Linked DNA regions of Kluyveromyces lactis. The protein of the gene in region 3 purifies or fractionates together with the protein of the main gene of each other region. This does not show direct contact. Links are inferred from orthologs where the notes say so. Each region holds a gene or a part of one and is shown on either strand. Other genes may lie near its edges.

Evidence for each region. Proteins that work in one complex are often made in the same cells at the same time.
Region 1: the proteins of SKP1 (region 3) and RAV2 purify together in Saccharomyces cerevisiae (affinity purification with mass spectrometry; 4 studies listed by BioGRID, with this or other methods). This does not show direct contact. The link is inferred for Kluyveromyces lactis from reciprocal best matches to the Saccharomyces cerevisiae genes SKP1 and RAV2.
Region 2: the proteins of SKP1 (region 3) and YPT52 purify together in Saccharomyces cerevisiae (affinity purification with mass spectrometry; 4 studies listed by BioGRID, with this or other methods). This does not show direct contact. The link is inferred for Kluyveromyces lactis from reciprocal best matches to the Saccharomyces cerevisiae genes SKP1 and YPT52.

The regions. Positions count from the first base shown.
Region 1 is NC_006040.1:1,583,428-1,590,890, reverse strand, and holds RAV2 (Rav2p), read left to right. Parts: upstream 1-2,934; coding exon 2,935-4,002; downstream 4,003-7,463. Other genes in the region: PSY2 (Psy2p), read right to left, coding at 1-807; ubiquinone biosynthesis protein COQ4, read right to left, coding at 1,559-2,557; SPC19 (Spc19p), read right to left, coding at 4,037-4,498; KLLA0_D18799g (uncharacterized protein), read left to right, coding at 4,844-6,247; lipoyl(octanoyl) transferase LIP2, read right to left, coding at 6,319-7,317. UniProt on the Saccharomyces cerevisiae protein: Component of the RAVE complex, which is required for stable assembly of the vacuolar ATPase complex V-ATPase under many conditions. May be required for transport between the early endosome and the late endosome/prevacuolar compartment (PVC).
Region 2 is NC_006040.1:198,799-205,596, reverse strand, and holds YPT52 (Rab family GTPase YPT52), read right to left. Parts: upstream 4,086-6,798; coding exon 3,462-4,085; downstream 1-3,461. Other genes in the region: SCP160 (Scp160p), read left to right, coding at 1-3,151; KLLA0_D02354g (uncharacterized protein), read right to left, coding at 4,540-5,802; KLLA0_D02332g (uncharacterized protein), read right to left, coding at 6,377-6,798. UniProt on the Saccharomyces cerevisiae protein: Required for transport in the endocytic pathway and for correct sorting of the vacuolar hydrolases suggesting a possible intersection of the endocytic with the vacuolar sorting pathway.
Region 3 is NC_006041.1:1,504,266-1,512,471, forward strand, and holds SKP1 (SCF ubiquitin ligase subunit SKP1), read right to left. Parts: upstream 4,169-8,206; coding exon 3,620-4,168; downstream 1-3,619. Other genes in the region: YSP2 (Ysp2p), read right to left, coding at 1-3,255; PEX3 (Pex3p), read right to left, coding at 4,474-5,925; KLLA0_E16985g (uncharacterized protein), read right to left, coding at 6,370-6,888; LRP1 (Lrp1p), read left to right, coding at 7,338-7,871; DNA protein crosslink repair co-factor UBX5, read left to right, coding at 8,130-8,206.

The sequences.
Region 1 (7,463 bases), on a different chromosome or scaffold from region 3:
TTGTCTATGGTTAAGTTTTGAGTTTGGAAATTCAGTATCATATTCCAATATACCGCAAACGCATAAAAAGTTTTCATCATTGATCATCTCTTCCAAAATCTCCTTGCTGTTGAACAATATTAGAGTTTTCACAATGTTGCTCAATAATAATAAATTTCGATATAGTTTAGATTCTTCTGACTGATAGAATGATCTGATTAGTGTTGCTAAATAGTGATCGTTGATAACAAATTGAATTGTCTCATTTCGCAGATAATCAAATGACGTGTTTTCGTTTAGAATTTTCAATGCTTCTAAAAGGGATTCTTCTGTCTGGTTTGGTACATTTGAGGGAAGATTGACCGGTCCTGTTATTATCTCATGAACAGACCCGATTCCATCATCTGTCGATCTTACAGCTACCAAAGAGATGCGGCTTTCAATGTTTTTCTGTACAAAGCAAATATATTCACATAAAGAATCGCATCCAATGCTTTCTTCAAAGGATAAAGCTATATCCTGACCATTCAGATCCTTCCAGACAATAAGAGTTTCCTCTTGACGCTGGTATTCGATGTTTTGTTCGAGCCTGGACTTAAGTAAGACCTGGTCATCGGAGTCTTCATCGACCACCAAAAGATACGCCATTTTCTCTGCAGTCTGAGTGTCATCTATAGTACGCTCTTCCACTGTCCCCTGACAAAACCCTGTCCCAGTATCCTTCCACTCGTTATTTTCCAACACATAGACTTTCACGCGTTTCTTCTCAGTGTATACCGACTGTTTGGCACCATCCCCAGAAACATGCATATTGTTAGATTCAGACATATCTTATATTATGCTGATCGAAGCCCTAATAAATGGCAAGATCTCGTAAGCTCTTTCTGCTAATTGTGACCTGACAAAATAGGTTCAAAGTCTTGTAAGCAAAAGTTGCAATGCGTTAACAACCGAGTGAGTCCGAAAGAAAACTTGAATGTTTACACTTCGTCGAAAGCGTCAGTGACTTCTTCCAGTTAAAAAAAAAGGACAAAGAGGATTAAACACAAGCGCTATAAGAGCTTTGAAGTAACAGATTCTTGTATGTTCAATATCAGATTATCCTCCCCTTCCGCTTAAAACCCTCACAAGACACTGCTTCTCTTTTATTATGGGGTGAGATGAGATGCCCTGGTCAGAAGTCTTAAATTGGATAGTTTTTAACTTTGTTCTTTTTTTTCTTCTTCTTGGCCGCTAAACGCAGTGATAAGAAAAAAGAACAGTTTTAAGGCTGCAAAGCACACCGAGGGAAAGAGGACATCGTACTGAAGTTCGATCATAATTGTTTAACATACCGCGTTAGCAAATAAAAGTGTAGGCAGTGGTACTGTACGTAGCAAGGATGTTAGCTATAGATATATTTTTTAATCGATCAAGCAAAGGCGATCTTTTTCCTCTTCAATTGAAGACGTTTATTTCATTACGTACGTATTTCTATTTCTTTTTTCCTGGTTCCTATATCCACAGAATGACCCTGCATTATACTTTACAAAGCAACTTTACGCCAGCCATCACGATTTGGGGATTGAGGGTTTAAAATTCATTTCTCGTAGGTCTCATACTTAAGCTTGAACTGTTTTCTTTGTTTCGCTCTTTCCTTTCTAATTTTTCTCAAATCTGGAGGTGGTGTGACGTTTAATTCTCTTCTTAGTTCGTCTATGTCCTTATCCAAGATTTCTTCCCAATAGACATTGATGAGAGGTTTGCAATTCAGCCCTGCTTTGACTGCCCATGGGAGGTAGATGGAGTAAAGTCTTTCCTTTTGCACTTTCTTTAATCTCAATGGTGCTAATAGAGCACCAAGTGCAGCCATTGGGACACCAATGTTTGATGCCTCAAATGCTTTAACTGCAATCTCACCTTCGATTATGATTGGTAGGTCATTTATTGCATGATAAAAGTCATGGCATTGTCTATATCTCTTAAATATGAAAGCATGGACAGGATCATCGATATAAGTAACTGGTGCCCTTGTGTCTGGAGAGACCCCCTCTTTCATCAACCATTTGTAGTACGTATAGCCAACTGAATTTTTATCCATCTTTGACAATCGTTCCATGTCAAGGCTTTCCGATGTGATGTTTGGTCTGTCTTGTAGAATCCTTCTACCAGTCTTATCTAACAACATTGTCCGTTTTAAACTTTCAAGAAAGCAAGGTAGAGCAGTAGCTTCTCCTAATTGAACGATGTTCTCACCGTTCTCCGGGTGGAAATAAGATTTTAAACCACTGATACCGAAGAGCATCATTCGCTCATACCACCAAAGTGGAACATGACCCTCATAATTAGGTTCTATCGGTCTTGTGTTTCGTAATGCATTTAACCTTTCTTGAGTCCTTTGTTCCATCTTATGCTCATACTCTCCATTTTTATTATGCAGATTCCCTTTCTCCATAGCATCTGCTAGTCTAACATCTTTCCCAATCAATAGGTCTCCAAAAGCTGCTATTGCAGTAAATACGATTGTTCTCTTGCTATTATTCAATGGACTGAAAGCGTTACGACTTGCTTGTAAGGATTTCTTACTTACAGTAAACATTTGCGGTCGTCGTCTGATGCGTTTAATAGCACACTTTCCCTAATAATAAAAAGCTGTGTCCCGGAGTACAACTCGTCAATTGAGTCAAATCTAGAATCTGTGTAAACCTTGATCCTAATCCACGCCAGCAATTTCAATTACAACCACTTTACAATTTTCAATGATCTTCCTTTATCTCTAGTTAAAGTATATGTGGGTGAGTCGCATCAACTTCAAGAAAAGGTTTAAATTTGAAATATTCAGAAGAATCATCATACGAAAAAGGCAAAAGAATAGTAAAAAGGTTGACAAAGGAAAACGCCCATCTTAGCAAGGCTCTTGCTATCTACACGCTAAGGGAGCTTTGCTACATTAATTCTCAATTGCATAAATCCGAGATGACTACGGAATTATATAATGATGGGGCATATAAAAATGCTCCTACATATGAGGAGAGCTCTTTGTTACAACAGACATGGTTGATTAAAGAAATCATAAAGCCTGAGCTACCTAACGTTATGGACCATGTTGAGAAATGCATAAACCAACTATCTAGTCCTGAGAAATTTCGAATGCCTCTTACCAATGGGAATAGTGTCTCCGTTAACACATCAGGTGCCGCGCCAGACAGCACATCGATTAAAGGGACAATCACTAGACAGGCCGGATTTATAGTGGATTTTCAGGCTATCATTAAGCTTCCAGACTTTAGCAGGGGTAAACCAATAGTTCTAAAGATGGACCTTGATAAACAATTTCCCTTAGTTCAAATAAATGCCATAATTACAAATTTATCATCCGTATTGTCCTTATTTGACGAATTACAGCAACTTTCCGAATTACACGATATGAAACTTGATGATATTCATACTTTTCACAATAAAATTGGGAAAATATTGGAGTTACTTACACAATCTATTACATTATTACAAAATCCTCCACGAGAATTGGTCTTTCCGCATAATAACAACAGCTTCTTAAACGACAACTTCTCTGAATCTCATGACATTTGTGAATCAGCACATCATTTGGTCAATATGGAATTAGTGCTATTCAAAAACGAGATTTGCTTGGACATTAGGAATTTGACAAAAGTCATTAAAAAACCCTGGAGTGAGATCGATTCGAAAACTGGGTTATCATTCAGTGATAAAGTCAGAGACAGGCTGAAGCAAGACAGAAATGGAAAAATCGCAGAGATCCTTAAGGAAGAAGGCTTGCAAGTTGAACAAACATCTATGATAAACAATTTGATATCCAGTTTTTCAGCAACTGAAAGAATCACTCTTCCGCAAGCAAGCGATCTATTGGCTAGGTGTGTGACATTTAACGGGCGAGTTGTCACTGAATGCGAGAAAGTTTCAATTACCACCAGCGATCCTACATTGATTAGTGTCAGTGCAAAGTTGAACGGGCTTGAAAACAAAATCAGCAATCACTTTGTAAATATTCAAAATTTAAGTTAACAATGCGATAGATAGAGAGTCGGCGTATGCTTATTTATCTCTCTTCATGCAATTCCTGTATTCTTTGTATCAGTTCTTCTTTACGATTCTTTAAGTCTTTGAGACGTTCCAATTCTTCATGTGTCGAGGATACTATTACAACTGGATCCGATTTCACATTATCTATGATGGGGTTACTTTCTTGATTGTTGAATCGTAGTTTATTCAATTCGAATGTTTGTGATAGAGTGGCCCGCTCCCTTTCCAATTTGGTTAGAGCTTTTTCCAGTTTACTATATAGTTTTTGTAACAATGGTTCTATATCCTCCATCAAATCAAGTCTGGCCCTCTGCACATCATATTCTGATACCAACTGGAATACCCTCTTAGTTTGTAGCATATTTATAGCAAGTTTAGTGCTTCTATCTGTAGTGACCTTAGATACGGTTAAACATTTCGCCATGTCATCGACACATGCTGCTAAAGCATCTACACCCTCCGAAAGTACCTCTTCCATTGTGTCAAATCAGCTCAAATAACAATGCCAAATTATCACAGTGCGTTATCCAATTACAATCCTGCCGATCTATGTGAAGTGTTGTGTTTTCATGTGTATGTTGCGTAATGTTTGTTTACCTCTTTTCTATGTGGTGAATTAAAATAATTGTGATTGAAATTAAGTCCATTCTTTTCTCAGTTTCATGATTTTAGTATTATCTTCACAGAAGTGGTAAAGCAGCTTCAGCAGTATTTGCTACGAGGCAGTCTCTCCATTGAAGTGAATCAGAAGCCGAATAAGAACTTGCACTTTGCACTACCTTTTTTTGCATATGGTTTAATTGGGTTCTTATAAGCAGTGAATATGACTGAGAAACAAGGAAGTCGATTGGATCCTCTTTCAGCAAACCAGAGTAACGATAACACAAGCACATCAAAAACAAAAGGAAGAAGAGCTCGTTCCAACTCAAGCAGCAACGGTTCTTCGAATGACAACTGTTTGAATTCAAGTAATGACGCTCTTAATAAACTGACTTCCGCTGAAGATGAGAGAACACAGGCCAGAAACAAATACACACATGTTTTGGTTCTAAAATCGTTGAACAACACATTTGAGACTAAATTCTTAGTAGTTCCATTCAAGCCCAGTGGACTAAAATTGGGACGACCTGTCATTGGAGCTTCAAATTCTGGAAGTAACGGAGGACTTTCCGGCAAAGCTGATCCACAGGTGAAAGCTGATAATGGAAATTTTGATTCTAGAGTGCTTTCAAGAAACCATGCATCGTTATCGTGTGATGCTAAAACTGGTAAAATATGTATACGTGATCTGAAATCATCTAATGGTACTTTCGTGAATGGTAGTAGGATCGGTCAAACTGATGTTGAAATCAAAGTGGGGGATGTGATAGATTTAGGGACGGATATAGACACAAAGCTTGAACATCGTAAAATAAGTGCATTAGTGGAGGACATTTCAGTGATACCGTTGATTGGCGAAAACGATAAACTACTAGTATCAAATAAACGAGATTTCAGGAGTACACCTGCAAACAATGGGATTCCAGACCCAATGGTCACGATAACAACTGCTCAAAAAGCTGCGTTCGAAGCCGCCATGTTCGGAGATGTAAATAATCTTGACCTCGAAGATGCTGTATTGGGGTCTGAAACGGAAATATTGAGTGGAATATTTATAAACAATTCTATCGGAACAAGTCCGAATTTGATTAATATCATCAAGACCTTAGTGACAGATCTAACACTTGAAAAGTTGGAATATGAAAAGTTGAAATCGATTGACAATTTCATCGTTAATTATATTACAAAGCTTGAATATCTATCAAAGATGAAAATGGAGCAAGCGGACTCACAACTAGTCAAACTTCAGAAAAGCGTTAAACAGAAGCTTGCGAATCAACAGGCAGAACTAACCACCATCCATAATGAAGAAATACAGGCATTAAAACAAGAAAATAAGAAGCTTAATGACTCCCTAAAGGAAAATAATGACTTGAAAAATACTAAGATCAAACAGCTAAAAAGTGAAGTTGATGAATTACAGACACGTCTTGAGGTCGAAATATTTAAAAATACCCAATTACAACAAGCAAAGTCAAAACCGGTAAAGACGAAAGACGATGGTACTGCACAATTACCAGCTGTATCAACAGGTAGTAAATTACCCAGTACTACAACCAACTTGCTTTTATTAAGTTCTATCTCGGCAGGGGCTTTGGCTGCTGTGTTTAAATATGCAACAAAGTAAAACTAATCATAAATATCATTCTTAAAGTAAAAATTAATCTAAGCATTTCTTGCAGACTACGGGTGATGCGTCTAATCAGTGTAAATGGGTAAATCATCAAGTTGAATTCTCTCTACTGTGGTAATGCCCAAAAGTTTAGCTAATTGATTCACGAATGCAACTGCTACATCATTAACAGAGGTAGAACTATCAGGGACTTGTTCTCTTATGGAAGTGGCTTTTTTTTCTGACAGCCCGCACATGGTAAAACTGTTCATATAAGACAAGTCTGGGTCAACGTTAATACAAATACCATGTGAGGTGACAGATCTTCTGACATGTATGCCAATACTGGCAATTTTTTCTTGATTAGAGACCCAAACGCCGGTATCATTGGTTTTTTGGGTAATTAAATTCAATGGTTCATCTGATCCTTGGAATTTTGGAACTACTTTTAATGCGTTCATGGCCGCGTTATCAATAGTTGAAACTAAGCATTTGGCCGGCAAGTTCTGAAATGTCTTTAAATCGAGAATGATGTATGCGACTATTTGCCCTGGACCATGAAACGTCACTTGGCCACCTCTTTCAGCCTGCACAAATTTGGGTTTTTTATTATATTTCTGTTTTGATGGAATAAAGCCTTCATATCTGGCGATCTGTTCATCCGTAATTTGTTTCTTAACACGTTTTCCGCCAGTATAAGTGGGTTCAAATTGAAATGTAAGCACAATTGGATTTGGCTTCATCTGATTGATATTATCTAGTATCATTTGTTCGTGAAAATTCAATTGTATCTCGGCATTATGTTCTTTTTGTAAGTTTGTCATTTCTCTCTTTATCTTGGATTGTAGTTGCTTAATGTCAAGATGAGCGCGTACAAATTTCTCCTGAATATCGATCCCCGTTTCAAATGGGATCTCTTTAACGAATTGCAAGTGTCTGATTGTTTTAGCTGAAGGATCAATTGGTTGCGTACGGGCGGTTGATGTGCATTTCAGAGTGGATTGAAACCGGACTTTACGGAAAATTGTACATCCAAATTTTGAAGGGTACCAGTAATTAGTACCTATCAGCATCAATTTAGACATACTTAGAGTACTCTCTGGAATCTGGCTAACGCAGAATAATTGCAGGTGGTTAAGGCACCTATGTCATTATCTGAATTGGGGCCTTTGTTTATGCGGAAATTCAGAAATGTACTGTTCTGTTTTTTTTCTCTTAACAAAGACATCGC
Region 2 (6,798 bases), on a different chromosome or scaffold from region 3:
TTTCTTGATCTCTGGTTCTTCTGACAAGATTGGTCTTGCTAAGAGAGAGTTGGTCAAGAAGTTGACTAAACCTGTCAATGTGACTTTTGAAGTTCCTTCAAAAACTAGATCTGCCATTATCGGATCTGGTGGTAAGACCATCAGAGCAATCTCAGATGCTGCTGGTGTAAAAATCGTGGTTCCGAAGGAGGTTGATGAGGGTACCTACGATTCAGATTTGGAAGACTATTCAGTAACCATCTCTTTACACGGCGATGCTGAATCTGTTCTCGTTGCAAAGAGTAAGATCTTGGACGTCGTGAAGGAGGAAACTAAAAACGCCAAGATTGTTCTTCCTGTCGAGGACTCCAAGTTGGTTCCCTTCATCGATCTAGAATCAGTTGAAATTCCAGCTGATGTAAAGGCGCAGCTGTTTACAAACAATGACCCCGCTGAAATCGCATTAAATGGTCCTCGTGATAATGTTAAATTGGCCAAGGTTAAGGTGATCAACTATTTGAACGAATTGGGTCTAAAGATCGTGGTGAAAAAGGAAAAGGTCCCATTCAAATTCCATCCTTTGGTAAAGCCTTCAGAATTGAATGAGAAGTTCCACGTCGAAGTACAAGCTCCAAGTATTTCCGGCGATGATCAATTCGTTTTCATCGGAAGCTCTGACAACGTCAATGAGGCCATCGTGTACGCTAAGAACTCATCTAAATTCCATACCGTGGAATCATTGGAAATTTCAAAAGCTCATGGTAAAAACGTTAAACATGCTAAGAACTTGATTCTATACTTCCAAAAATATAACGTCTTAGATCAAATTACCGAAGACTTCCCACAAGTGCAAGTAGTTTTACCTAAAGTGGAAAGTATTCCAGCATTGGAATCCGTCAGTATTACCTTAATTTCAAACAACGATGCCGCAGACGCTATCAAGACCGTTCGTAAACAAATTGTAGCTTTGGTTAATGAATTATCTCCAGAACAAACGTTAACTATTTCAGATTTGGATTATCATCTATTCCACAAGGACATCAAGCAAATCTTGGTCTCGACTGAAAGTGATGTCCCATTCATTCAATTGGGTGACTGTTTCCCAGGTAATGACGATATCTTACTAATCACCAAGATCAATGAAGATGATTTCAAGCCATCTGATGATGAACTAAAAGTTAAGCTGGAATCGGTCAACCAACAATTGGAACCAATCAGAAAGAAGCAAAGCCTTTTAGCATCCAATGTTGTTTCCCTTGCCAAAAAAGAACAGGATGAACTACTCGGAGAATCAAAAGTCACTTTGAACTTGATCAATGAAGCTGTTTCTCATGCTGGCGCTCATGCTTTAATCAAGTTGAGCACCCCTTCAGTCAACCAAATTACTATCAGAGGTGATGACCATGGATGTAAGATTGCTTCCGCTGCTGTCAAGTCCATCGTCGAGAATTCATCAACAGAATCCAAGATCACATTCCAAGTTCCAACCAATGTAGTTTCGAGATTGATTGGTCCAAAGGGTGCTAACTTACAACAAATTCGTGAAAAGTTTGACGTTCAAACTTTCATCCCACAAGATTCTAAGGATGAGAATACCGATGTTACATTGACCGGTTTGCAATACAATCTTGACCAAGCGAAAACATATATTCTAGCAGAAGCTAAAAAATGGTCCGATATTATCACTAAGGAATTAATCGTCCCTATGAAGTACCACCGTACATTAAGTGGACCTCAAGGCACTTATCGTATCCGTTTGGAGAACAAGTACTCCGTTTTCATCAGATTTCCTAAGGACAGTGAGTTAGTCACCATCAGAGGTCCATCTCGTGGTGTCAAAGCCGCTTATGATGAACTGAAGGCTCTTTTGGACTTCGAAATTGAAAATGGCCATAAAGAGCTTCTCAAAGTTCCAGTCGACTATGTTACTAGAGTCATAGGTAAAAGTGGTGAAACTATCAACGATATTAAGGCAGAGTATGGTGTTGAGTTAAACTTTTTGGACAAAACCGACAGTGAAAAGGCTAAGGAAGCTGGTGAAGTCGAGTTGGAAATCACTGGTTCTAGATCTAGCATCAAAGAAGCTGCAAACAAAGTCAAATCTATCATTGATCAAGCATCAAATTTTGAGACAGTTACTCTGGAAGATATCGACTCTAAGTATTATAGCGATATCATCGGTCGTAGTGGCTCCCAATTGAAAGAAATTATCAGCAAAGCTGGTGGTGATGAGATTAGAAACAAGAGAGTCAATATCCCTGATGCCTCTTCTGAAGACAAGGTTATCACTATCTTCGGACCATCTGACTTTGTGAAGAAGGTTGTCAAACAAATTAAGGGAGTTGTTTCTGGCTTAGAAAACAGCATTACCGAGGAGCTAAATATTCCACAAGAGAAGTTTGGTGCCTTGATTGGTCCAGCTGGATCAGTAAGACGTGAATTGGAGACAGAATTCAAAGTAAGAATTCATGTTCCAAACAAGAACAGCTCAGATGAAAAGGTCACTGTTTCTGGTTCTCCTGCTAATATTGAATCTTGCAAGAAGAAAATCGAAAAAGAAATCATCAGGGATAGTTTCGACTTGGAAATTGCTGTCCCTGCCAAATACCATTCATACGTTTCTAACTCTGGTTTGATTTTCCAAACGTTAAGAAACGAATTTTCTATTGATGTTTCTCATGGTAACTTGACTAGAACCGCACAAAGTTTATCTCGTGCGAACTACAAGGTTCCTGAAAATGTCGCTGGTGGTGAAAATGAAAGCTCCAACGTCCTCATTCAATCTGTCACAGAAACTGAAGCTAAGGTTGACACAATCCCATGGAGATTAACATACTCACCAATTGACTTGAGTGATGTTTTAGGTGAAGACTATAAGAAAGATGAAGAAAGCAAAGATCAAGTCTTAGAAAAAGCGTCCAAATTGATAGAAGACAGAATCGCCGAGGCTAAACTTGTTAACACCGAAGGTTTCGTTTGGTCCAAGGATGCAAAGAAGTTTAACTCTATTGTTGGACCAAACGGTAGAAATATCAGAGAAATCAGAAATGCCACTAAAACTGTTATCCATGTTCCAAGAAAAAGCGATAAGGTTAACAATGTTATATATGTCCTAGGCTCTGAAGAAGGTGTGAAAAAGGCAGCTGAATTGATCTGCAAGAGATTAAAATAGTTTTAATGTTTTCACTTTGTCCGTTCCTTTGATCCAATTCTTGTATTTATTTCCTCTATTGGTGTTCAACGCTGCACAGATTAGCACTACATAAGCTTACATTAATACCACATAATTAATCATGTATACTGAATACACTTAAAACCTATATCAAAAAATGTAAACAAAACTATTTCTTCAAAATCCTCGGTTGTTCCTCAATGTTAAAGATTTATACGGGCTAGCGTGTGTTTCATGGTTATACGTAAACGTATATATATATTTATTGTGGCCTGAAGATCTATATGCAGGCATACGAATAAAGCCGTCTTCATGAGCAACAAGACTGTGAATCATTTGTACTTGGTCTTTGCAATGATATATTATTATTATTAGGTTTCTTCGATTCCTGTATCTTATCTTTGTTCTGCAAATATAATCTTTCACCAATATCTTGGAAGACTTTGATTACGTTTTCTCCAGTCTTAGCACTGACCTGGTGGAACAACAAATTATTCTCTTGTGCAAACTCGCGTGCGTCCGCTTCATCGACTAAAGAGGTCGATTCCCTTTCAGATACTAGATCCAACTTATTCCCCACAAGACAGATGATCAACTTATCGTCATTTACCTTTTCTTTCAATTCATCAACCCAAAGCTTGGCCTTAGGCAAAGAATCTGGTTCAGTGACATCGTACACAACTAAAGCGGCATTTGCATTACGATAGTACATAGGTGCCAAAGATTTATAGCGTTCCTGACCGGCCGTATCCCAAATTTCAAACTTCAAAACTTGTTCATCATACTCTTCAGATAATTTAATAGTTTGTGAAAGAAAAGCTGCACCTATAGTCGATTCCCTGTACTCATCAAACGAGTCTTTGACGAATCTATGAACAATACTGGATTTTCCAACAGAAGAATCTCCCAACAATACTAATTTGAACTGAAGCATAATTTATGGGAAGTAAATTGCGATATTTTAGAAAGAATCAGCAGTATAGGAAACCTGGGGTTGATATTGGTGAATGCTCGAAACAAAATGTCCAATACGACTTCTACCCGCGGTTACTCGTTCCAGTTTCTCTACTTTTTTATCTTTTTATCTGGAAGGGATGAAACCTGTTGATTCTGAATTTAAAGGTTTCAATGACTGAAAGCCTTTAAGTTGGATAATACGAATTGTCGATCACGTGATTGGTAATTTGAGGGGAGTTCGTGACGTTTAAAACAATGACAAGAGGCTGATTTGGTTGATAAATATAGTTGGGGTGTGTATTGATTAAATAGAATAGAATAAATAGTAGCTAACATTAATCGAATAGAAGTGAAATGAAGTGAAGTGAAGTGAAGTGAAGTGAAGTGAAGTGAAATGAAGTGAAAGAAGTATCGTGCGCATGCTTATTATCTCATTCAGTAGACATCTTAACAAAGCCCAGCTCGTTAAGCCTTTGGATAGCGGCCCCGATCTTCTCTGCTTCCAAGAGTTGTTCTTCCTCGGGCCAATTATCAGCCTCGGAATCCTGCTCAGCGATAGAAGTCATTGAAGAGTTGGAATTAACAGTTGATGCTGCAGTGGTGGTGTTTGCCGATGGCGTGGGTAGTCCGGAGTAGGTGATGTAATCATGCGATATGGAAGAACACACTGAAGATTCACGAGAAACTGGAGGCAAAGGCTCCAATCTGTGAGTTTCCCTGTTGTGTCTAAGATGTAAAAGATTTAATATCGAAGTAGTAGTGTTCGAGATATTATTGATTGGTGATTCGATCAACTTAATGAAAGAGGAGTTGACGAAGGGGCAATGGAATGAGTTATGTGGCGAGACAAAACAGGTTCTGATATCTTGCCTTAGTTGAGGAGAAGAGTACCCTATCAAAAGCTCCAAGATGTTGAGGATCTGAGGTAATCTATGTTCTTGTAGGGGGCAATACAATTCCTCTGAAGCTTGTAGCAACCAGTCGTTGAACTTGTCCTCGAAAATGCATAAGAATCTATTGACAGTGGTTCTTTCGACGGACAGGTTATGAGTATGTAGCAATAGGTAAAGGGATCCAAATTGGATCAAACAATCTTGAAATCCAGCCACGGAGTTGTATGGTTTTCCACTAAGTTCGGTGAAGAGAGACCAATATACTCGAGAATTGGCAGAGAGATACCCGTAGTTGAAACACAAAGCGTACCAGTATTTACCCAATTCTGTAAGAATTGAAATGCGTTTTGGATCCATAGTCAAGGAAGTGACCATCGTTTGGAAACTCTGTGGAGCCAACATTCTGTTAAAAATTTGATGATGTTTCTGGTCCGAGTCATCTAGATCTGAACCCTGGCCATCATGAGCCAAAGTTGGTTTACAATGTGCCAATAAGAACATTATTCTCCATCTGGGTAAATCGAAAGGATTTTCAAAGAGGCTGGTCTCGACACATTTTATAAGAGTTGCGTTAAGATTTGCATCAGTTCGTATAGAACACGAATGTAGCAAAATATTAGCCACAATAATGGCTAACGTTTCACTTTGAGAAGAATCCGGCTGCACATGGTAGAACCAGTGCAGAATCTTTTGGAAACTAGAGTGATAGACCGAACTATCTACCCTAGACAACTGAAGCAACCGTTGGCATTGGTCTGCTGTAAGTTCCAAACCAGAACATGTATTCACATATGAGTTCATCGTTTGAAGCACGTTAGTCGAGTTAATTTCAAGAATACTACCACTAACAGTCGCCACCAAACCCAACCTGAATTAACTATCAACCTTAAAACCCAACCTTATATATATACTTAAATACATGCGTCCACATAATATCAATTGCCTCTTATATCGGCCGGTGACTAAGAAAACAAATCTTTATCCAAATCATTTGTCACTTGTTGTTACCGGTTCGAATGGACAAAATTCTTTCAAAATCCATCTCTCCAAACAATGAATGGAAACTTCGGAACTTCATCTTATTGGACGTCCTTGGATTTGCCATTAGAGATATAAAGGGATTCCAACGGACATCCATAAGGAATCCACACGGCATCTTCTGGACGGTGACTACATTTGGTAACTAGTTCCAACACAAGAAATAAGGATCCGGGAAAACCGTAACTATGCAAACTTGTCAGCGAACGGTATCTAGCACTGACCCATTGCTCGACATTGTTATGTGCAACGGAAGTGCAAAGTTGATCATGTCAGCATTTAAAAAATTCTCTTTCTGTTTGCAGTAACTAGCCTTTGGCAGCATCATTGTTTCCTTCTAAAGTTTAAGAGGACCCCAAAGGAAATAAGAAGGAAAATTCGAAGGAAAATTCCGTCGCTTACGTTTCGTAGAAATAAAGTGAATGGCGGAACGAAGTACAACACCATTTTGGGAATTGCCACAGTCCGACACAGAAGTTTTCGTGGTGTTAAAATCCGCATCAGTTCTTTTTCTTTTTCTTCGTTTGGTTTTGATTCCTAAAGATTGACTTTTCCATTGGGAATATCCTGCGCCCCGTTTGTCGGAACCGTACACCTGAAATAGGCAAGCGGAAAAAAAGTATACTAGTGGGGAATGTATAATTGGAGAAGTAGGGAGGAAAAAGATCACATTTGCGATCGGGTTTGCTGGATGTTCTGCTGCTGAAGGTTTTTTATACTGGTTTAGGAATTGAGTTCCGGTTGGACGGAATTTGACTG
Region 3 (8,206 bases):
ATTGGTGGTGTTTTTTTCTCCCCAGGAGAAGTAGAATTTGGTATGCACTTCGAATGAATTACCAGATGGGATTTCTGGTGTCTTTGATATTTGTTCAAGTACCATACACGTGTTAACATCATCAGATTCAATCTTCTCTTCGATGTAACACTTTGCTTGCTTTGGACCAATTGATCCTGGTAGCGGCTTGACGTATGTGTACTTTCTAGTCTTATTCTGAAATGGTGGGATATCAGATATTTCAATATTCTTTTGCCTTTCCAATATTCTCTTCATGTATGAGGTATCATCTCCGCATATTAATTGGAAGATGGTACCAACAGGAGACTTGAAACTTATTTTATCGTCAATAATTTCATAGCCGCTTGATTTTTCAAAAGTGCATTCGGTTGGTTCGTGTTCCTTAGGTCCCAAACATGGTAGTGAAGATAAAACCTCTTCAATATCCTTTCTGTTATCTGGGGAGCTGCTCTTACCTTTGTTTTCCTCGATGATGTCTTCAAGTTCCTCGAAAAGAATTTTCGTAGAAGATTTTATTCCGTCAAAGGTTCCCTTTTCAACAGCCGCTTTGATCCAACTCTTAGCAGACCAGTCCACGTAAGTATACACTTTCACCTTGGTTGAATTGTCATCAGCCCAACAGAATAAGAATATTGTTTTAACAACGAAGGAATTACCCGAAGGTATATCGGGAGTTTTCGAGACTTGTGTGACCTGCACGTAATTTTTGAGATCTAACTTGTCGATTGATTCAGTAATCTCACAGCGAGTTTTACTTGGACCTATACTACCGGAAATTGGTTTAGTGTACACGTATTCTCTTTTTTTGGATTGGATTATTTCATTAAATTTGGAGATATCATAGTTGCCTTGAGCTTTTAATATTCGATCAAAGTATTGGACATCTGAGCCATAGAGTATATTTATCACTGTACCAAGAGGGGCGTTCAAAATGGTCTCCCCCATTTCTCGTTCATTTTCTTTTGGCGTGTAGTCGGGAGTAGTCGGCTCATGTTTCGAAGGACCCAACTGTGCTGAGCTTTGAGAATTTGAACTTTTGGAAAGTCCTGAGGGTCTTGCCTCGTCAGACACGCTATTTGTGCTTTCCTCAGAGCTACTTGTCATATCATCTGGATTTATGTCATCGGTATCGTCGTCATCGTACGAATCACTTTCATCACGGTTACCATAGGAATCAGTGATAGATGTGGAAGTCCGGTCGTTAGTCTGAACATCCTCATCATCGTAATCCATGCTTGAAGCTTCACTATCAAGAGTCAGATTCTCATCATTCATCAGATCGGCAGATCCCATAGTACCTCGTTTAGGCTTGAAGTTTTTATTGATTATTGTTTGATTCCATATATCCATAATTTGATCAAATGTACTGTCCCTTGATATGAAAGATGCAAACAGGAACTTGTCATGTAAGGTTTGTATCGATATGGCATTAGGAAATAATACGGCAGTGTTCTTTTGTTCGATCTGAACTATCTCTTTGAATGGAACTACAACAGTCTTCATCCATCCCAAAATATTCGAGTAAAAGCAAATGTGTCTATCAGATATGTATAACCTACCTTGAATGAGAATATCTTTTGATAAAGCACAACTGTAATCCGCTATTAATCTTTCAATTGGAGATACTACGGTGTCTTTAAAGATTGTATGGAAATCTGTATTACGCTTAGCACTTGCATATTCAATGCCTTGAAGTTCTGGTTCTTCAGTTTTTCTCTTTATTGGAATGTCCGAAGTTGACAGGCGTGTTGGTCCTCCAGGTGGTTGAACAATATCACTGGTCTTGGATATGCTACTCGCTCTTGTCATGTTTCTGCCCGAAAATGAATTTCTTAGGGGTGCTGTAAATAATTTCGTAGCTGCAGCAGGCGACAATGATCTCATAGTTAAATCTCTCAACACTTCGGGGCGTCTTGACCTACCGTTCCTCGGCCTAGTTTTTTCGAATGAAGGACTGGCAGAATTTGTATTGCTGTCCGTATTTGCATCATCATTAGGCATTGAGAGTGGGGACGGAGACGATACCGGTCGATCTGGTTGGTCTGTGGTAATCAGCACACTTGGTGTATGAAAGCCGGTGGACTTGAGATCATCTTTGTCCTTTTCAATGGCATCTAAAGTTAGATTTCCCCTCCCAAAGGTCGAAATTGGGGGGGCATTATCTTGCTTTACTGATGTAAATTTGACTTTATCCATGAAAGTTCCCACAGAACCAATATCATCACTGTTATTACCATCTTGATCGCTATCATCGTATAACGGCACGGTAGAAGACGGATTAGTCATTTGTTGAGAAATGGAAGATGTAGAGGAGTCGCTGGTATTAAGGGTGTCTAGTGTCGTCGCCTTCTTCAGTAAATAATCATTATTCGAGCTGGGAGCAAGAAGGAAGTCTAAATGATTCAGAAATGAGCCTGTATGGTTGTATGGATCATTACTTGTATCTGTACCACCAATACCAGAAGTCAGCAACTGAGTTCTATCTCCATTGGACGGTTCATCGTAAAGGCTGCTACTACTCTTCAGTGAACTTTTGGGTATCAAATGGTTAGCAGCGTTATGTGCAGCCGATATTAGCGATGAAAAGAGGCCGGAATCAGATTCGTCTGGCTTACTCTTTACGGGAGTCGCACTATCACTTTTCGAAGACTTGAATTTGGTGAACAGAGTCGTTGATGGTACGTCAGATAGAGAAGCCTTGCTATCGCTTACCCGTAACCTCGAACCCAATGGATCAGTGTTCTCTTCCCTTGTCATTGCAGTTTGATTGAAACCCTCAGTGGAAGACGTATCATTTCCTGCATTTAATGAATTCTTTCTCGGAAGCCTCGACAATGATGTAGAAATCCTCAGCGACCTCGATCTTGACTTTTCGCCAGACTGTCTGCTACTACGAATCTTGATGCTTTGGATACCTGAACCCGTGCTTGAAACATTGTTCTTATCAGAGGCATGATTCGCAGATCCTGCTTTATGGTCACTCCCATCCATCAAATACACCTTATCATAGCTCGAATTCGACGATAATGCAGATGCATCATCATTGACATTGGGTTTCAGACTCGTAGACCGTAGCACACGTGTATTGCCCTGAGACTTTGGTTGACTCTTGTCCTTATCCTTTTTCTTTTCCTTGTTCTTCTTCTTGCGTTTGTTTAAATTTAGCAACGAACTAGTATTCCCGCTTAGCGATCTTAGTCTGGATTTGGTCTCCTCACCAATGGTCAACGTCATCACAATCCTACACCAAGTATACCAGTAACAAGGGTCCTATGGTGCATCTATCGATGCAGTTCTGCCTTGAATAGATAAAACCAGAAGCAAAAAGTTTCAATTTAAGGTAGCGCGTTCTTTAAATATTATATATAGGTACAAAAATGAAAAATTATCGGTGCAGAGACAGACCTTGAAGCTATAAATGCGATATGAAAGCGATCCCTGCGTTTGCCCATGACTCAAATTCACTACTTCAATTAAGATCCGCTTAACAAGCAAGTACTTAAATTATTGATTACATACGGGAAATGAGGGAAATTGCTATTTTAAACTGAAGAGGATGTAGATACAGAAAGAGAAAACAACAAGAAAACTTGTAAGTTTAACGGTCTTCTGCCCATTCGTTTTCACGTCTTATGGCAGCTTCTTCCTCTGGAGTGAAATCGTTAACGATATTGAAGGTCCTTCTGATTTCTTCAGGTGTTCTGCCCCTAATCATCTCCGCAACAACTTTACATCCAGCATCCAACAATGGCTTGATATTTAGATAGTTAGCTGCTAGAATAATCTCATATAACATTTCTTGGTCCACTTTCAAGAACTCACGGTCCCATGGATCCACAGGCGCAGCTTTCCTCGAATCGTCGTCATCTTCATCGGGGAAATTGGAATCCTTGTGATGAACGGCCCATTCGATCACTTTCTGTAATACTGACGACCTCACATTGGGCACGGGCATCACTATTTCATCGTCACCATCCTCTTCATCATCTTCGTCATCGTCAGCATCGTTATCATCATGCAAATCGCCACTGTTAAGATCTTGCAAGTAGTTCTTTAGTAAAAGTGAGCGTTCAGCGATCTTCCTGTCAACGACAAATCTCTCTCCCTCAACACTCACTAAAACAACGTTCTGGTTTTCCTTGGACATGATTTTCTGGTACTAAATAGAACCCACTTGGTAACTCTATGGTGCTAACTAACTACAAACACCAAGCTCCTATCCACTTGCAAACATTAACTGAGATGTATAACATGTTGATTGACAACCTGTTGGGAATTCGATTCTTTTCGTTATTTGACCTTAAGGAAAAGAAAATTATGATCACGTGGCCATTAAAGAAACAGGAAGAGAAACCCCGTAGTGCCAGTGAAAGAGTAACGTTAACTATAGAACTATCTACATACACGGTATGGAGCGATTTCAGTACTTGAATGGAGGGCCAAGTAAGGTTTTCATAGACCGAAGTTACTATATACGCATGCACTGAGATCGTCAAGTGCCGAGATGGAGTGTAGTTTCTGTAGGAACTTGTTGTTCATTGATACGAGTCCCGCTTTCAACATTTCGTTTGTGCAGTCTTTCGTGGCGATAGAGAATAATGCGATTTGATATGAATTTTTGGATATATCGACTACTTTGGTGTCGTCATCATTCGATTTAGGTTTCGATTTGCTGTTGACATTATCCTCGATTTGTTCCATGATTGTGTGGAATGTTTCATCGATTAAAGACTCCAGGACAATCCATGTTCCAGGTGATTGTAGGCATTTGTTGGTCTCTTGTACAAGTTGTTTTAGTAATAGATTATCCTCGTATAGTACTTTCAAAGCATCTTGTTCTAAAGTTTGTTGAAGAACAAATCTCTCTAAGTTAGGTTCAGGAAGTAGACATGAAATGAACATTTCATTCGATTGTGGCTGTTGAAAGAATTGCTTGTTTGTGGTGACGAATATCTTGCTTATCTTGCCACTGAACTCATCCATTGTCATGATATCTCTTGGGTTCGAATTTTGGAACTCTTCTTTCACCAATTGTTCAATGATACTCTTGTATTGTAGGTATCCACGGTTTAATAACCACCACGATAAGGATAAGAAAGCTTGTTCGTTAACGTATCTCGATTTTTCAGGGTTCGCAGTGGATGCAATGCTCCTTGTGTCCGTGTCAATAGTACCATCGCTGTTTCTTGGGTCAGCTTTTTCACTGGGTAAATTGTTGCTCTTTTCAGTGATCCAACTAGAGAACCAAGATAAGACTGAGTATTGATTAGCCTTCTTTTCCCTTTCCTTTTCCATGGCAGAATTGATGGCAGTATCCAAATACTCTCTTCTTGCCAATATATTCAATTGCAATCGGGTTAAAAGCATCAATAATGATGTGGTATAGGACAAGATAATGATCTTGGTGATAGCTTTGAGTTTCAAATCGTCCCAAAGCTCGGCCTTGGATTTCGTAGACGTTTCAGAAACGCTAGTGGTATCTGCAGATTGCGGAGATTTCGCTGACACACTGGGTGCAGGCGTCATCGCACTCATTCCTGAACTTAAGCCCTCATTTTCCAACTCATTCCCAGCTATTTCACCTTTGGAAAGCTTCTTCTGTAACTTTTTCCCCTTTAGAGCCTCTACAATAGAATCAAGATCGAAATCCTTAGCCAACACTAACGTCATTACCGGCATCAATTCATAAAGAGTGTACAACGAGTCCTGCTGAGTTTGTACAAACCTCCGTTTGATCTGTTCCTTGACAAATCGTTGCTCCGTCATTTTCAAATGCTGCTTGTACAACCATCTTTTACTGAAATAGACCGTAATAGCGCATGTAGCAAATAGCGTAGCAAACAAAACACTAGAAACAACGAACTTCTTTCTGTGTCTCTGAACCAGAGATCGATTCCCAGTCATGATGAGGGGTAAAAAAATAACTTATAACTTAGAGCAATGTAATTCTTCTATTGATTTTCCACTACAGCCGTTGTCAGATTGCGTGTAGAGCTTTCCTAGTGTCGTTGTTTGTCTTGATACTTTATTGATGTTGATGTTTACTTGCTAGTTAGTTATTTTAATGTTTTTCGAATTTTGTTTCCCCCTCAAAGAGCGACAAATTCGACAGATTTAAGAGAAAACATATACCAAAGAGATAGAATTGCGTTGGGTATTGAACCTCTATGGTTCTGCAACTGGTGCCAACAGATATTTTATAGTGTATCATTACAGCTTTATCTTTTACTATACATATTATATGTGTATATGTGTATAATTGGTCAAAAACGTTCGCATGACTCAAATAAAAGATGGATCATATATGTGATGTGTCGAATCTCAAACGAAAACGAAGATTACATCCACCTATTGGCGTTGCATCTCAGTGAGACGTTTAAGATTGGCCAAGTTCTCCAGGATCTGGCCATCTGAGATCATAATTGGGGTTTGCGTATCGTTGCGGAAGTAATCTTCTGCACTTGTATGTGCTAAAGGTGGACAGAGTCTGAATGAACCAGACCGATCCATTTGATGTTGGAAGGGGGAATTTTCCGAATAGAACGCAGTTCTATCGAGTTTGACTTTGAGATGGTTCTGCTGTTCGTCGTTCCCGTTCTTTTGGTATAGGTTCTGTAGAAGCGGTTGCGGTGGCTGTATTCCAGCCTGAAGCGATGATGACTCGTGGTTCAATAGGAAGGATACGTTCATCTGTTTAGAGTTCCGCTGCAAAAGCTGATCCATTTCTGTGACGACTTTCTGCAAATTTGATGCCAAGGTTGACCATGATTCTGCATCGCTTGGCGAGAGCGAGTGTGCTTGCTCACGATATTTCTCACGAACCTGTCGTAGCTGTGTCTCTATATTCGATAAGTCATCAGCGACCATTATCTATGCTGACGAGAAACAAACTAAAGTACTTCTTGAGCTAGGCCAGTGTTGAAATTAAGTATACTGGCGGAGGGTGGATGTTACTTCAACAGTCCAAATAGGACTACTCGCCCTGTATTGAGTACAGGTTCTCCATATATGTGGTATGAATGTGTGTAATGTCTTGCGTTTTTTTTTTTTTTTTTGGCAGGCAAATATGGAATTTTCGCTGGATAAAGAAATAGAAATATTACTGAAGTACTTCTACGTGCGAAACGCACGCAGATTATTATGCGTTTTGTTCCATTGCGAAAAATTCGCAGTATTATGTTATTGATCGAAAATTTTGATTCAGTGAAGAATACTTCATCTCGGTATTATACAGCTTCATCTCATCTCATCTCATCTCATCTCATCGCTGCCTCAGTCGACAACGACAAGAACACGGACCACATACAACTACCAGCATGGAAGATACTAAGAAAATTAAACCATACATCTCGTATCTCAATAAACAGGTGGAACAACTCAGTGGTGAGATTAACAAACTAACGAGCAAGTCATTGGACGAACAACTGTTGCTTCTGCAAGATGAAAAGAAGAAACTTGATCTTTCAAACAAATACGCATATGTATTGAGTTCACTATGCTTTTCATACATGAAAGTCCTCAATATCAAAGACCTGTCACCTATCATGGCCGAATTGGCAAGGTGTAAGTCATATATGGATAAATCTAAACAGTTAGAAGCTAAGAAAGAATCTGAAGAGAAGGATGAGGTGGAGCAAGAAGAACAAGCAAAAAGAGTTCTACAATCTGCGTTGGGAGGTGGCAAAATGGAACCTGCTATCAGTAAAGTCAACTTTCAGGGGAAACATACTAAGTTTTCGACAGAGGCTTCCACCACCAGCACTGATAAGGATGGACTGGCAAATCGAGTAGTAGACGGAACAAAGAAATCAAAACAGCAAAAACAATCTGGTAAAGTATCGAAGAAATAATTCATCTGAAATATGTCCTGGCATGTTCATCCATGTATTCCTGGGTCTTATTCTGGCATTCTATATTAATAATTAGCATCGCATTTTTCACTGACATAACAAGTTGTATAGTATAAATACACTAAAATTGGGAAACAAAAAGAAGGAAATTCCAGTTGGCAAACGTGAACAAGAATTAACCAAAGATACAGGTTTCAAGTGGCAACAGAGAGTTACAGAGACCAGTAAAAGGATTAAAAGAAGTACATTTCAATAGCCATGATATCTGACGAGGATATTTCAACTTTCCAAGGTGTTTGCGGTACAGATAACGATGAATTGTCAAGACATTTCCT